Drosophila melanogaster: one gene and its partner. The protein of the gene in region 1 interacts with the protein of each later gene in a pairwise test. Each region holds a gene or a part of one and is shown on either strand. Other genes may lie near its edges.

Evidence for each region. The genes of interacting proteins can lie anywhere in the genome.
Region 2: the proteins of CG13042 (region 1) and CG31038 interact in a two-hybrid assay, tested with the Drosophila melanogaster proteins (one large-scale study listed by BioGRID).

The regions. Positions count from the first base shown.
Region 1 is NT_037436.4:16,307,344-16,310,613, forward strand, and holds CG13042 (uncharacterized protein), read right to left. Parts: upstream 1,138-3,270; 5' UTR 1,073-1,137; coding exon 1,061-1,072; intron 997-1,060; coding exon 655-996; 3' UTR 503-654; downstream 1-502.
Region 2 is NT_033777.3:29,875,110-29,878,864, reverse strand, and holds the start of CG31038 (uncharacterized protein), read right to left. Parts: upstream 1,807-3,755; 5' UTR 1,750-1,806; exon of another isoform or gene 939-1,749; 5' UTR 494-938; coding exon 1-493.

The sequences.
Region 1 (3,270 bases):
TATACATATATTATATATATAATATATAATTATATATATAATATAAGTTCACATTTCTTATAGTTGTAGATTACTACTGAAAAAAAATTGGATTACTAAACAAAACTTGTTTTGAGTTGAAGATTAATTGATCTTACATAGTGCCTGAAATTTGGAATTTTTTTAAACAGTCATCAATTTCTATGTTATATTCAGATAGAATTAATTCATTAAGGATATACTATTGTTCATATATGTACTACTATAAATGGTATAAGTAGAGTATTGAAAGCATAATTTAAACAACGAACAATAAACAATAATTGCTTGATAACGATTTAGAATAAAGTACTATCCAAGATAAATTTCAAAACACGTATAAACATCAAGCAACCAAATCGTGATAGATAAGAACTACCAGCCACATAAGTTAAGGTAAAAGCACTGATACCGAGTTCTTATCTAACTTCTAGTGAACTGGTAGCATAAAGTGTTTTTCCATTAAGAAATATGCCACAGAATTATTTTGAGCATGAAACATGGATTTATTTACATCAGTCGAAATGTGAAAGAAGAAAAACAAAACAGCAGGGTTGAGAGTTTAAGCATGGGATCGAGGTGAGGGTAAGCCAAAGTTGCTAGCCCACGCAATGCCATCCAGGACCTCCATCACATTTACCAGGACGGAGCCCAGCCATGGCCAGCCCAACCATGTCCGGCCCACGGAGACGAGAGGAGGGTCGTGTGGAGGGCAGGAGCCGCATAAGTCTTGATGATGGGAGCGGCATAGGTCTTCACCACCGGAGCCACAATCGGTTGGATGATGTGGGCCGAGCTGTGCACCTGGCTGATGCTCTGGTGGGAGACGGCACTGGGCACGGTCTTGATGATGGCGCCCACCTTGGCCAGAGCCGGTTCATGGATGATGGCAGGAGCGGCATAGCTGTGGAGCAGTGGACCAGACTCCAAATAACCCGGACGGGCAGCCACGACGGCGAGCAGAGCGAAGAACACCACCTTTTCGATGAAAATTATAGCATTAGGTCCAGAATCATGTGACTTGGCCATAGGGTAGACTCACCAACTTGTACATTTTGCTAATCCTTGCGATCCTGGTGCGCTAGCTATTGGCTGAACTACTGAACTGTTGGTCTGTGTTGACGCCTCGCCGATTTGTGTGGTTAGCTCCAAATTTGCAGCGGCTTTTATAGTGCCCAAAAAGCCGAGCAGAGCCCATGTGCAACCGAATCTTAAAATGCAGAAAATACAATAATAATAATTTTCTTGCTCTTTTTTTTTTGGCCATTTGCTATTTTCCTCCTTCAAGCATCGTTAAGAAAAGCTGAAAAATAACGCCAACGGGGAGTTCGCCGAGTTTGCATGTGCAGCAGCTGATTCGCTTTGTCTTCGGCCAGCTTTTTGGCCAGAAAATACCAGCACACCCCACTCCCCCCACAACTCGGCAAATGCCCAAATGGCCAACTGACCGAGTGTGGTGGCCACTGCCCACCTAAGACATCGTACCCCATTAGGTTGCAAAAAAAAAAGAAATAGAAACCAGTCAAAATGTAATGTCTGACCGAATGGGTTGAGCTCACAGACGTTAGGTTTCTGGCCCATTCGGGCAGTTGGCCAGCAGCCGCCACTTTCAGCACTTCAGGCCAAGACGGGTGTCGCTGAAAATGTGCTTCGCACTTGTCATTTTCCTCCTCGCAACTGACCGTGAAAATTTCCCCTAGCTGCAACACGCACAGCAGCCGCAAACCGAACTCGCCCAAAGTAGTCCAAGTTCAATGGAAACGCACTTGCGTGTATCTGTCATGGCCAAAACATAACTGGCTCTGATGTCCGGAGGGGCGGGGGGATTTGCCTCTTCGGCTGTTTCGTCTGCGGTAGAAGGCCAACGGAGGCGGAGGTAATAGCGGTGGTAATGGAGGAGGTAGTGGTAATGGTAATGCTATCGTCACCGCGTTGAGAAAGGAATGTGCGCAAACTCGCTGGCCAATTTGTTTGCCCATCACGTCGGCCAACGAACGCGAAACGAAATGAAAATGAATTTCTTCATATTTTAACAAGCCTCACAGTGGTTTTTAATGTTTACTTCATTTCGCTTTCAGTGCGGAGATGAGTAGGAAAATACTATCACGAGAATTTCGAATAGTTATATCTGGAGAAGTACTTCGGAACTTTTGGAAGTGAGTACATAGTTTTAAGAAAATATAAATGAGAATTTCTTTTTGAACTGTATGAGTATCATTTTTCTTGCCTCCTTAAATAGTAAAACGTGTGCTATAATAAAAATATCTAATTGATTTTATTATATATTAAATTCCAAAACAAAATTGTAGCTTCATGAGCAGTGCTATTTATTACATTTTCCTTTACTAAACTTAAAAATATAAAATAAATTTTATTTAATTTTTTCTTATTTTTCAGATGTAACATATTTAAGATATCTAAACCGAATTAATCTCCGAATATACTTTGCTTTACTGTATCTTTTATTTCTTTGGGCAACGACAGCACTCCCTTCCTTTCTCCGCCCCTTTTTTTCCGTTCGCATTTTCAGGTTATGCTAATCTCGGCCTGCAATTGTCTGGCATAACAATGGCCAGCTAGACGGGCCAGCGATAAAGCACCAGAAGGCGCAAATCCAAAGACCGCCACAATCACAGCCACATCCCACATAGAACCGCACTCGGGACTGGTCTGGAGTTCCGCTTTGTGTAATAAGCAAACATCGATGGCGATTGCGCAGGCGCGCAGATCACTCATACGCCATGGACGCAGTGGTGGCGGCAAAAAGGGGATTAAGATATATATGATGATTTTCCTGACTAACCACTTTAGATCTTTGGCTACTTGGTTGTCACCTTACATCCCGTTTTTAATGATCCCCTCTAATATTTTTTGCATTTGCCACTGCTTGCAAGTGACAAACACAACTGTACCTTCAATGGTGTTCAACTGTAGTTGTATTTACCGCCGTTATGGTGATTTGTCAGCAATTTTTAGCATGATTAATGAATGTTTCAATCCGGCGACACAACTCCCTCTTCCTCCAACCCACCGCTTTGTTAGCCGAAATTCTTGAGTGACTTTTAATAGATTTGAGTCTATTTCTGTTAAATTCCTTGGCAATATCCGGGCTGTGTGCTTTTGCCACATCTGTGTTACATGTTTGTACATATCTCTCTTGGGATCTCGAGTGGTACTGCTCTGGGGGTAATGTACGCCTTATGGCCAGCAGGCAAGTGACAGTTCTGTCGCTGTTTTCGTATCTTTTTTCCT
Region 2 (3,755 bases), on another chromosome or scaffold:
CAATTTTCCGTGGCCTGGGAAGTGGCTGACTGGCCGGCTGGAGGCCCGCCCTCTCGAAGTCCACCTTTCCCAGGCTCAAGCGGGTGTCCTTGCGGGGTGTGGTCTGTGGCGTGCTCCCGATCACGCTTATCGAGTTATGCCGGTTGACCGTGACCACCGAGGTCATTGAATCCCTGGGCTTGGCCGTGGGCACATCCGGTGCCTTGCGCAGCTTCAGGGGCTTCACCGGCGGCGTTGGCACCGCCGTGGTGGGCGTCTGGGTCTGGGCCTGTTTCTTGGGCAGATTGACCGTTGGCGACTTGTAGACCAAGGTACGACCCACTGCACTCAGCTGGCTCACGAAGGTGGGCTTCTTCTGAATGATCGGAGGGGCTCCTGCTCCATTGGCCAGCTGAGCTGCTGCTTTGGGCCTGGGCGGCACTGGTGGTCCTGGCCGCTTCACCACCATCGTGTTGGTGGTGGTGGCTGCTGATCCGGCGGCTGTGGTGGCCATTGGTGGTGGTGGTGGTGCCTTCGCTGTGCTACACGTTCTCACGCCAAAACCGCACTCGAAACCAGTATTTTTAGGTCACTTCTCGAACGGCAAGCCAGAGACTACTGCGCTTATTTATTATTATTACTTAGCATAAGCGCGCAAATGGGAAACTAGTTTTGCTCTTCTCACATGGCGATCTCCTCCGCAGCTCCTCGTCACCACCTCATCCACATCTCCTCCGGTCTCTCGAGTCGATCTCTGATCTATTTTGAATATAGGCCAATGCAACGGAGCTAGTTGGATGCTGGATATTGTAAGTTGGATTGCTAGTTGAACGTTGGATGTTGGATGTGCCAAGTAACACTTTATTGGTCGGCTATTCAGTTATTCGATATGGAATATAAGCATGGCCGCCGCTCGGCTCTTTGCTCTTTTGCGAAACTCGTTTTCGATCTTTGGGGTTCTGTGGATTTTAAAGTGAAAGGGTTCCGTTTATTTTGGTTTTGGGTCTCTGCATCGGGCAATGGAAACTTTGCGACCAACAACGCCGTGCCATTTAATTGTTCATTAGTTTGGAAAAAGAATAAGCGACCTAATCCTTGGATTCTGATCTGTTTAAAGTGAAAGGGGATTGGTTTTCTGACTTGGACCTATGAGATGGGAACATTAACGCTTAAGGCTTGTTATATCAATTAACAAAGCTCCTCCATTTAGATAATTATCTATATATTGATAAACTGAAAACAATATGGGTACAACGATAAACAAAAGACTTAAGTAAAACCATATAGGCACTGAAAACACTCTTTATAAGTCGGGGCCTTTAAAAGAATGGCGCTGGCAATTAACGGTTTTTGTTGTTTGCACAAAGAAGTTTCACTTTAGCACTGAATTCGGCACTAGCTGGATCTCGAGTTTACGATTTTTTAACAGCCTTTATTTGTTTAAATTTTACGTGTATAATTTAAGCACTGCACCCACACCCACACGTAAATCACTGAACCGATTTTTAAGGCGGGGGAGCATGAGTTTACAGGGTTTCCATTTTATCGGATCGGTTCGTTGGGAAAACCCCAAGATATGATAGTTATCTCTTGGGTATTCTAATGATTGAGTGAATCACCAAACAGTAAATACTGCACTTTTGCGCTTCAAATAGCCAAGACCATTGCAGCGGACACACCAACTCGCACACACCCGGGCACACTCACACACACTAGCACGCAGATGCGACCGACACGGATGCGAATACGATTCGTTTTACGATACGATACAGATGCGATATATCCGCTGTACGATGCGCTTTGCACGAGAGCCAGAAGTGAACTGAAACCGAAACGGAGAGAAAGATTCGAAAGAGCGAGGCTCAGCGCACCTTGCTCAACATTGTTGTTGCTACACGGCCGCACTGGTATGCGTGTGTGTGTGTGTCTGCGAGTGCGACAGTGTGGGTGCCTTGGGTAAACGAGTGACGCGGCACAACTCGAAAAGTCTGCACTTCAAAGATAATTTTGCATCGCATGCAGTCACGCAGTTACTCTATTATTTACCAAGCTGAATGCAAATAAATTCGGTTTATTTTTATTTGTATGTAAAATGAATTATATTTCGTTACAAAAATATAGGTAAGCATTTTAAACTATTGAGTAAGTTCTTGTATTCGTGTACAAAGGATTATTTTAGGAACAATTATTTCTTATATTCCACTGTGAGCACCTACGTAAATAAGGAACTTGGCTTCTTAATTAAACAACAATTTGAAATTGATTTCAACGCAAATGTTTCGTATCTTTTACTACTGTACCAAACTATATAAACCAAACCCAAAATACACGGTTAAAGTTCCGAAAAGTTAGAAACCAAACGGGTTGAACTTTAAATTAACTTTAGCTTTTCAACCGCAACCGAATGGAACCCAACCAGCTCTTATACACCGCTGCTCCTCTCTTTTGGCCGATTCTCTGCTCCTCTCCAGGTTTTCGGAAGAGAAACTTGGCACATGGCCAGAAGTGCATTGATTGCTTCTTGAAACGGGTGGTGCTGGAGTACGATGACGATGATGAGGTTCCCCGGTTGCCGGCGTCTGGCTGCTGCTCGGTTTTCCTTTTTTTGGGGGGTCGTCTGGCGTTGCAACAGCTGTTGTTGCCGCATCGCGACAAAGCACCCGCCACCCGAACTCCCCAAAAAAAAATCTTTATTGATTGCCTGTGCAAGTACCGGAGTACGTGCCGTAGGGTGGACTTTCATGGGGAATCATAGCCTATATACAAGTTAATGATCAGATATAACAAGAAAGCCAAGCGTTTAATAAATTACTCATACGACCTGTTAGGCAAGCTAACATAGATTCCTAACACGATTCCTCTTTCGGAAACATCCCATGACTTTATTTTTATGGAGAAAGTAAGATCCCAACCAGGACATTTATTTTACTTAATATTGCTTTTGGATACTGACATGCCTTTCCTTGTGAAAATCAAATGAAAAGGTCCACACTACGTATGAGTGATTTGTATGAGTACTCATGAGTACAACTCAGGTCCACCCTAACAAATATGCAGAAATTTTGCAGAATTGCTGCGCCATGAATGCATACAGTACATATAAAAACATAAACATAGCCAGTGTAAGTAATAGCTCTAATCGTGCTTCCCTTTCAGCACTTTTACTATTGTCATTGCTAAGCAAAAGGACCCAGAATGCGACACTAGAATGGCCACGTTATTTATGGTGCCACATAGCATTGCACATACTACTTGTCGCAGACTATCAACTTCGTTTTCGGGGGTAATGCCATTTGAAACTGACGCATTCATTATTGAGCGAGTAGACGGTCAGCCCCAAACTATGCAAATCAGGCGGGACGGCAAAAAGGCAGTCAAAGGGAGTCAAACCATTCAAACCGAAGGCTGTTCCACTCAAGTCTTGCATTTCACTTGCTCCCTCATTAATTATCTATACGTCATCCCTTCCCGGAATTATAATACCTAAGATTTACGAATGTCTGCAGTATCAGTATAGAATTACAACCGCCTGTTTACTTTGCCAGCTACTTAACTTTCAACCAGCTCGCACCTCAGGAAGCCCCAAATATGAAGGTTAAGCTTTGCTAAATACCATGCCTGGCTGGAGGAATGAATGTTTAGACGTACTCTAATCCGGAAGCACTTCAAAACCAAACCCCCGCCAACGTAAGTTTCGTTGGTAGAATTAAAGTTACATTTAGCGTCCTGGTTGCACATATTTACTTTACACAAAATATATATCATTTAAAAGTTAA